Saccharomyces cerevisiae S288C: one gene and its partners. Changing the gene in region 2 together with the main gene of any one other region gives a genetic interaction. Each region holds a gene or a part of one and is shown on either strand. Other genes may lie near its edges.

Region 1 (3,301 bases), on a different chromosome or scaffold from region 2:
TATCTGCCTTTCGACTGATATAAAACACTCAGGCAGCCCGTATTCAGAAATAACTGGAAATACAGCTTGCATAAGTCTAATTGGCTTAGCAGCTCGTCATCTGAATACACACCAGGTAGCTCCATTATGTCCGATAAATATTTTGTCAAATTCTTCACAATACGTTCCATTTCTTTATATTTGGTTAACTTCGATGGTAATGAAGTATTTAATTTCAGCCATTGATTCCATAAATGAGTAAACAAATCTCTTTCACGAGATATAGAGGTCAAAAGAATATTATATTTAATGTAGGCTAAAATTATCTGATTGTTTTCAGAACTATTTTCAACCATCTCGTCTATGTCATCTTGATCGTCGTGGTTTGCGATGAAAAATTCATGACGGTCTAAAGCTTTCTCCAATTTTGATAGCCTCTGTGTATATTGAGTAATCTGAGTTGGGTGGATAGATAGACCTTGTTCCAAAAATTGAGCAACTTCAGCATCGATTATCTTGGCGTTGAAAGATCTCCAGTTTATGTTAGTGGTAACCTTTTGATCTTCAGTTGAGGTTGTAATTTTTTTCATATTGAATCCATTGTCTAATAACAATTTCACAAGCTCATCGTCCTTGTTCTCATCAGATTGAACTCTTTCCACGATAAAGTTATTTATTTCGGGCGTTGTAATTAAATTTCCCGCGTACTGCTTGAGAGAGTACTGGTATTTATTAACAATGTTATCTACAACTTCTTCAGCTAATAAGCTTAGATTCTTCAAGTGTTCCAATGCGGCGAAAACGAGGGCTAGGTTGTTCGAAATTTTGGCATTGTCCTTCCTCTTGAACCTTTTTCCATTAATTAGGTACTCTGAATGTACCAATTTAGCGAACGCTAAATATTGGGCACGAGTTATCCATTGCTGTTCATTTTGAGTGACGTTAACCAATTTATCAGCAGTCTTGCAGGCCTTCTTCAATCTTGTGGATAAAACCTTTTCTTCACTTTTCTTTAACTTTCCTCTTTGACGAGCTCTCAATTTCAAAGTTTCAGCCAGTGCCAAGTCCCTTTCAGCGTGTAGTAAAATCAAAACACCAATCAATTTAGTTTTATTATCATAATCCTCGGAGTTAATTTCGCCATACTTATTTTTACTTGAGTATTTCTTTGTATCCTTGGTGACCAAATGGCAACGGCTCCTCAAGTGTTGCAACTTTTTATTCAATTTCGCATGATACTTAGCGAAGTCTGAGTCTGTTTCTAAAAACTGTTCTGCACGATTACCATAGGTGGCAATGATTGGAGAATAGGCAACCATCTTTAGTTTCAAGCGTGGCTAGTTTTTGATTCAATATGGAAAAAAAGAAAATTACACTGTAATATAATACAATTGATCACTTTGATGCTCAAATAATTCAAATAACCTAGTCTCCAGCTGCTCGTTTATGCTAATATTGTTGGATTAACTCTAGCAAATATACTCCAAAAAAAATTTTCAGAACTTATCACGAACAACGATGTGGTAAAGACAACGAAATACTACGTAAATCATATTGGTCTGCTCGTTTATAAAAGCTTACTCCCAATCAAATCACTGCAATGGAATATGTCGTTTGGTTCGTTGTTGTAGTTTGTGGAATGCCAGAATCATCAGCTGTTTCTCTTCCAAAGCTTCCCTGAGATCGCTTCTAAAGGTTGTTTTGTAGATCCCATCGAACATGAAAAAATGACAGCAATGTAATTAGAACCAGAATTACAACGTAACAAGAAGAAGTAAACAAGGCAGTATTCGTATATTTGTATGGCGGGAAGTACATCCAGTTTGGTGATCTGTGCGATTGGTATATATGCTACTTTTTTGACGTGGGCATTAGTACAGGAGCCTTTGGCTACAAGAACCTGGCCAAACTCCATGGGAAAGTTTCAATTCCCTAATGTAATATCCCTCATACAAGCTTCTGTGGCAATGATGATGGGCTACCTGTACTTAAACTGGAAGAAGGTGGAATATCCGCCCAGAAAAATGATTAAAGATCATTGGAAACAATTGATGTTGATATCATTTACACAGAGTAGTTCAGGCCCGCTGGCTACAACTTCTTTAAAGCACGTGGATTATCTCACTTACATGTTAGCAAAGTCATGCAAGATGATCCCCGTGTTGTTGGTGCATTTGCTTTTGTATAGGACGCCCATAGCAAGCCAAAAAAAAGTTGTAGCTCTCTTGGTAAGTCTCGGTGTCACTATTTTCACTATAGGTGGCAACGATGGTAAAAAGTTGAAGAGATCCTTTAATGAGAGCGGAAATGATAACAAATTACAAGGGTTTGGACTACTTTTCTCTAGTTTATTCCTTGATGGATTGACCAACGCCACCCAAGATAAGCTACTAAAGGCCAATAAGGCCAAAGAAAAGGGAAAACAAACTTTGATAACAGGTGCACACTTGATGTTTACACTGAACCTCTTCGTGATATTGTGGAATATTTTGTATTTTATTGTGATCGACTGCAAACAATGGGATAATGCCGTTTCTGTATTGACGATGGACCCACAAGTGTGGGGCTATTTAATGCTTTATTCGTTCTGTGGCGCTATGGGACAATGCTTTATTTTCTATACTCTAGAACAATTTGGCTCTTTAGTTTTGATCATGATAACAGTCACCAGGAAAATGGTCTCGATGATTTTGAGTATTATTGTCTTCGGTAAGAGTGTACGTTTCCAGCAATGGGTGGGGATGTTTATAGTATTTGGTGGAATCACTTGGGAAGCACTCAACAAGAAGAAGGCTAATATACCGAAGGCAAAATCTGCGTAGATTAGTGAAGATCGCAACAAATAAAAGTTAATATTTATAAAATTTGTCTATACTATGTACTTCCTATTTTTTTGATGGACGAAGCAGTCTCTCTCTTAATTCAGGATCGTATGCATAAACATACAGACCACGCACGCCACGAGTTAAGAGGACATTAATGCTATTCATAATAATCTTTTGCTTAACGTCCTCTGCATTGTGAATGTTTTTCTTTTTGGTGAAACCGGCCCTATCGTCATACAGCTCTGGTCTTAGTTTGATGCAGTCATTAGCCGCATCATACCCAATGGAACGGCCCAAAATTACACCAGCATAATTCAGATCAAACCCTTGGATAGTATACACACTACCTACCTCATCAATCGTGTCGCAACGCTCACTCCAAGGCGTCACTTCACGTGGAGTATAGCGATCCCAGCGAACTTTGAAATTGTCACCACATTCAACGTAATAGTCTTTTCCGTCCAAGCGATAGGGAAAATCGTAAGTAGATAGCATCC
Region 2 (3,909 bases):
TCTCCTTCCTTGCGATTAATGTTACCCGGTATACGAAATCGGAGAGGATCAGAATAAATGCATTGAAAGGAGCATAAATCTATACAGCGGTTTGGCAATGGTGAGAGGAAGAGAACAAAAAATAGAACGCAGATAGTCATGTCCAAATACGCTTGGTATACCAGAGTTACAGATACATTACATCGTCTAACGGTACTGACGTTGGTTGGTGGTACGTTATACATGTCGGGTGGCTTAGCTTACACTTTATACATGAACGGTAAGAAGTACGAACAACAAGTGACCCAACAAAAGGCACTTGAAGAAGACAATCAACAACTGCAAAGTCCTACTGCACCTCCTACCGAGTAAACTGCGAGAACCCAGTGCTAATAAAATGAAGAAAAAGTACTAGATTACATTTTTAAGTGTTGCACTATATTCTAAGGGCCTCCATCGACGTAGTGTGCTGGTTCCACCTTCTCCTCATTATCATGCCAATATTTACGAACCTGTATATAATAATTAAATCATAAGAAACAACAAAAATAAATAACATTGCTGCCGGATTCCCGTAGGCAAAACTAACATATATATCGCTGCATGCCTTCCTATTCCTTATCAGGGGAAAGACTGCCACTGAGGTTTGAGGCCAAAGGCTGAAACACTTTTCTTCTAAAATGTCGTCTATTCGCCATCTAGTTTTTTATCTGACTATTTCTCGCTGTTTACTTTTTCTTACTGCCATTATGTAGGCCTTTTGAGTCAGCTTTGTGAAGAGATCTTATTACCTTAATTCTTGCTGAAAAATACATCGCAATGAAGTCACTTTCGTGATGGAAAGAACACGGCGGTAAGAATACGTTCCTTTTTGTGCTGTGTACACCCGTAAAATTGTACATTATTTATTTCAAAATATATAACAGGATCCCTCCAGTGTGTCTGAAATGATGCAACTCTGATACTTCAGAGTCGTACCCTTATTAAATACTAATGCCGAATATAGTCATCCAGTAGCCATAGTTCACACACACATTACTTATTCACCACATAAAGAACTAGAAATGCTTGCTAAATATCGTACCTTGAAGGTAAACATTAAGGCCCCCCAAAAGCATATATACATACTGGCAACACAAAAAAAGTAAATTGCCAACCACCTACCTTACATATGGTTTGCCCATCCTACATTACCAATACTATCAAGACATTTCTTCTGAAACATATTCACAACTGAAACGAGATCATTTTCTTATCTATCTATTGAGTAATGCTTACTTTTCATATTTTCAATGAACAATAGGATATGTAGGAGAATTGATATATTCACTGCGTATCAGAGAAAAGGTCTACTGACATTTTATGGCAAATGTATTCTACACAAATCGAGAATACCACAGACAATGGTACAAGACATACACAAAGAGAAGACTGTTCTAATTAAACAAATAATATTGAGCTACCTGCTAAGTATGTCCTTTTCCCTTTGTCCTTTGGTTTCTCTTATAGAAGACCCTGGAAATTTTTCGCATTTTTCCGGCTTTGGGCGTTAGTAAGAACAAAAAGAAAAGAAGAGAACAAAAAAGAAACGATACGGAGTACGTGTCATAAAAACTTGTTCAATCATCCTTGAAGCTAAGTATAAAGAGCTTGAAAAGGTTTACCACTTAAACTGGTTATACTATTTCAAGAGTGTAAACATTTTATTGCATATACCACAGTAACGTGCAGGTAAAACATGAGATTAAGAACCGCCATTGCCACACTGTGCCTCACGGCTTTTACATCTGCAACTTCAAACAATAGCTACATCGCCACCGACCAAACACAAAATGCCTTTAATGACACTCACTTTTGTAAGGTCGACAGGAATGATCACGTTAGTCCCAGTTGTAACGTAACATTCAATGAATTAAATGCCATAAATGAAAACATTAGAGATGATCTTTCGGCGTTATTAAAATCTGATTTCTTCAAATACTTTCGGCTGGATTTATACAAGCAATGTTCATTTTGGGACGCCAACGATGGTCTGTGCTTAAACCGCGCTTGCTCTGTTGATGTCGTAGAGGACTGGGATACACTGCCTGAGTACTGGCAGCCTGAGATCTTGGGTAGTTTCAATAATGATACAATGAAGGAAGCGGATGATAGCGATGACGAATGTAAGTTCTTAGATCAACTATGTCAAACCAGTAAAAAACCTGTAGATATCGAAGACACCATCAACTACTGTGATGTAAATGACTTTAACGGTAAAAACGCCGTTCTGATTGATTTAACAGCAAATCCGGAACGATTTACAGGTTATGGTGGTAAGCAAGCTGGTCAAATTTGGTCTACTATCTACCAAGACAACTGTTTTACAATTGGCGAAACTGGTGAATCATTGGCCAAAGATGCATTTTATAGACTTGTATCCGGTTTCCATGCCTCTATCGGTACTCACTTATCAAAGGAATATTTGAACACGAAAACTGGTAAATGGGAGCCCAATCTGGATTTGTTTATGGCAAGAATCGGGAACTTTCCTGATAGAGTGACAAACATGTATTTCAATTATGCTGTTGTAGCTAAGGCTCTCTGGAAAATTCAACCATATTTACCAGAATTTTCATTCTGTGATCTAGTCAATAAAGAAATCAAAAACAAAATGGATAACGTTATTTCCCAGCTGGACACAAAAATTTTTAACGAAGACTTAGTTTTTGCCAACGACCTAAGTTTGACTTTGAAGGACGAATTCAGATCTCGCTTCAAGAATGTCACGAAGATTATGGATTGTGTGCAATGTGATAGATGTAGATTGTGGGGCAAAATTCAAACTACCGGTTACGCAACTGCCTTGAAAATTTTGTTTGAAATCAACGACGCTGATGAATTCACCAAACAACATATTGTTGGTAAGTTAACCAAATATGAGTTGATTGCACTATTACAGACTTTCGGTAGATTATCTGAATCTATTGAATCTGTTAACATGTTCGAAAAAATGTACGGGAAAAGGTTAAACGGTTCTGAAAACAGGTTAAGCTCATTCTTCCAAAATAACTTCTTCAACATTTTGAAGGAGGCAGGCAAATCGATTCGTTACACCATAGAGAACATCAATTCCACTAAAGAAGGAAAGAAAAAGACTAACAATTCTCAATCACATGTATTTGATGATTTAAAAATGCCCAAAGCAGAAATAGTTCCAAGGCCCTCTAACGGTACAGTAAATAAATGGAAGAAAGCTTGGAATACTGAAGTTAACAACGTTTTAGAAGCATTCAGATTTATTTATAGAAGCTATTTGGATTTACCCAGGAACATCTGGGAATTATCTTTGATGAAGGTATACAAATTTTGGAATAAATTCATCGGTGTTGCTGATTACGTTAGTGAGGAGACACGAGAGCCTATTTCCTATAAGCTAGATATACAATAAGAGCAACACAGTTTATCTTATATGTATTCAATGTATAGATTTCAAAATATAGAGTTTAAATATCATTCAAAATATTCAATAAATTTTTCCTTTGAAAATTTAGGCCACTAAAAAATTATAAGAGCCAAAACGAAGTAGATACAATAATAAAAATAATATAGTCATATCTTAAACTTTTTGTGTAAAATCACTCCTCATTGTTAACCTTGGTAATAAGTTTACCTTTATTAACACCGCTAAATAGACCCTTCCATATCAATGGAACATTCTTGAACTTATCACCGGTACCATCTTCAAGGGTAGCGGATTTCAAGAGGTCAATCTTACCATGCTTAACCAGAGAACCCAATTTATCTAATGCCTTTGGAAAATCATCAATATTATCTGTCACTAGTACTCCTTTAACGACCAATCGTTTAGTCAGAATAAAGCTATACCCCTTAAAGACAAATTTAGATGGATCATTATAGGCACTTATAGCACCACAGGCTATCAACATA
Region 3 (2,756 bases), on a different chromosome or scaffold from region 2:
TTTACAAAAAGAAGAAGAAAGAAACTGGGATCCAGTGAAATTTGTTGCTGGTAAACTTCGAGGTGTAATTTCACCCATCCAAGCCTATGTGACGATTGGAAAAAAATTTTCCCCTAACTCATTGGTATACACTAGTAGATTCTTTCAACTTCATTACTTCCCTGAAGACCATTTTATGTCTTGTTTTAGAAAAAGTAAACCAGCAATAACGGTAAAATCCAATAAGAAGTTTTATTTAAATGGGAAGGTTTTCAACAAGGACAAAGAATATTTCAATGAAACTAGGATATCAAAAGCTAATGAAGTCGAACTAAGCAAAATTCAAACAGCGATGACACGGCTTACAAATAGACATAGAAACAGTATTCCCTCTGAATTTGCGTACTTGAGACGAGATTTAAAATTAAAGGTGAAAACAACGTTTATCAAGGAGTGGTGTAAACTAAATGGTGATAAGGCCATTCGAGAGTACGTTAATCTTAACAGATCTCCAAATATTAATCCTGCTAGCATGAAGGGCAAGCCAAAGAAAAGTTTTTTAGATAACCTTGGTAGAAGTACTGTGGGAACCGCAAAGGACGGCTATTATTTATACATTGTTAGCATATTTCCTGATAAAGATATGTTAGGAGAATTTAATGACGAGGTCAATAGAAGCGTTCAAAAGGTTGCCAATTTGGATTGGGATGGGTTCTTGACCCCAAAAAAAGGCACGAAAGGCAAAAATTGGGTAGAATCGTTCAATGACAGTATAAACGTTCAAACAATTAACAAGATACTCGAGATCAACAAGTTTCCATTTGAATTAAGAAGAGAACAAACAGAAGGCTGAGAAATGGGCCAACCATGCATCTCTCTTGCTGTCCACTATGTATCTACATATACGTTTTAAATATTTATCATCGAATGTGCAAATACAAGAACGTCACTTTCGAGTCTAAGTGGTTGTCACTCATGTTTCGTGATAAAAGAAATATTTACAACCCGGGATTTTGAACCGTTGCATGGTCATACTCGAGGAGTATTAGAATCAAGCCATTATGATCTGCTATATATCTTAATGGTAAGATCACAATATAAATGGATAGCAATAACTTTTGAGTATGAGGAGTTCCACTTTCATAAATGTTATAGATATGGAAAGCTTACGCTGATGTAAGTAATGAGTAATCACAAAACGAGGTAAGAAAGGCCAAGCGAAAATAAAGTCATATATTTTAGGCAAAAAAAAAAAGTCTCAAGTAATTCTCTATAAGGCAATAAAAAAATAGTTCTCATTCAGTCTTTTTTCTTTCTTTTTGAATACGATGGCTCGATTAAGGTTCTTCATTTCAAAAAATATCTTGCTTATTAATATTGAGTATGAATGAAAGATTCATATCAAAAGTAAGCGCAAGTGGTTTAGTGGTAAAATCCAACGTTGCCATCGTTGGGCCCCCGGTTCGATTCCGGGCTTGCGCATTTCTTTTTTATATTTCTTCTCTTACGTTGTAGGAGTATATTTTTTTTAAATAGTCCACTGGAACAATATCATTTCTGTTGTAACTATACCAGATCTGGGTTACAGAGGCCAGAACACATATAACGTTACACAATGATTCATGCAGTTCTAATATGTATGTAAGATTTCTCAAGGGTCTTTTCTTCTGCCAAAATTATACATTACTAACATAATTCATCATTTTTGGTATAGTCAATAAGAAATGCCAACCAAGATTAGTGAAATTCTACACGCCGGTCGACCTTCCAAAGCAAAAACTGCTATTAGAGCAAGTATATGAATTGATTTCTCAAAGGAATAGCGATTTTCAAAGTTCTTTTTTAGTCACGCCACCATCGCTTCTGTTAAGCAATGAAAATAATAATGATGAGGTAAACAATGAAGATATTCAAATCATCTATAAAAACTACGCTACACTATATTTCACTTTCATCGTGGATGATCAAGAATCAGAACTGGCCATATTAGATCTGATCCAAACTTTTGTGGAATCATTGGACCGTTGTTTTACTGAAGTCAATGAACTTGATTTGATTTTTAACTGGCAAACTTTGGAAAGTGTATTAGAAGAAATCGTGCAGGGGGGCATGGTCATTGAAACAAATGTGAACAGAATAGTTGCTTCTGTTGACGAACTCAACAAAGCTGCCGAGTCCACAGATAGTAAAATTGGAAGACTAACGTCCACTGGATTTGGAAGCGCACTACAAGCGTTTGCTCAAGGCGGATTTGCACAATGGGCAACGGGGCAATAAACAAACAAATTAATCGGATGATGGTTATTTTCGTTCGTCAAGATCTGCACGTAAAACCGGCTTGAAGAAAATTAGCTGAGCCGGGCATTTCCCAGCTTTTTTAATATATAATACAAAATTAGGCACCCTCCCTTTAAAATTCTGTTTAAAACTAGATCTGGTCATAAAACATAGATAATATTGTACGTACAATATGGTCACACCGTTAGGAAAAGTAAGATCTCGCTGTGTCTAGAGAATGAGTTTTCTTTCTTTTTGACAGGAAAAAAATAAGTTCTGATAATGTAAAAGTTATAGAAACAATGTAAAATAGGATACATTTCTATATTAATATGTACCTATAATATATGCAGATTGGTATATGTAATTCAAGGAGTATGCATAGAAATAGCAATCCAGCGAGAATAATTTAAAAGGAGTCAATTCATCCTATGCAGACAGGCATTTTTGATCCTTGAAATGCAGTCTTTCAGTTGCTCTTTAGAAATGGCAAAATCCAC

The links.
Region 1: mutations in ERO1 (region 2) and HUT1 together harm fitness more than expected from each alone (negative genetic interaction), as found in Saccharomyces cerevisiae (2 studies listed by BioGRID).
Region 3: mutations in ERO1 (region 2) and APS3 together harm fitness more than expected from each alone (negative genetic interaction), as found in Saccharomyces cerevisiae (2 studies listed by BioGRID).

Annotation. Positions count from the first base shown.
Region 1 is NC_001148.4:86,514-89,814, reverse strand, and holds HUT1 (UDP-galactose transporter HUT1), read left to right. Parts: upstream 1-1,781; coding exon 1,782-2,801; downstream 2,802-3,301. Other genes in the region: signal recognition particle subunit SRP68, read right to left, coding at 1-1,298; YPL245W (uncharacterized protein), read right to left, coding at 2,865-3,301. UniProt on the Saccharomyces cerevisiae protein: May be involved in specific transport of UDP-Gal from the cytosol to the Golgi lumen. Involved in the maintenance of optimal conditions for the folding of secretory pathway proteins in the endoplasmic reticulum.
Region 2 is NC_001145.3:10,983-14,891, reverse strand, and holds ERO1 (ER oxidoreductin), read left to right. Parts: upstream 1-1,717; coding exon 1,718-3,409; downstream 3,410-3,909. Other genes in the region: COX14 (Cox14p), read left to right, coding at 139-351; YML131W (uncharacterized protein), read right to left, coding at 3,597-3,909. UniProt on the Saccharomyces cerevisiae protein: Essential oxidoreductase that oxidizes proteins in the endoplasmic reticulum to produce disulfide bonds. Acts by oxidizing directly PDI1 isomerase through a direct disulfide exchange.
Region 3 is NC_001142.9:395,431-398,186, reverse strand, and holds APS3 (Aps3p), read left to right. Parts: upstream 1-1,594; coding exon 1,595-1,616; intron 1,617-1,693; coding exon 1,694-2,256; downstream 2,257-2,756. Other genes in the region: PET130 (Pet130p), read left to right, coding at 1-832; RRN7 (Rrn7p), read right to left, coding at 2,676-2,756. UniProt on the Saccharomyces cerevisiae protein: Part of the AP-3 complex, an adaptor-related complex which is not clathrin-associated. The complex is associated with the Golgi region as well as more peripheral structures.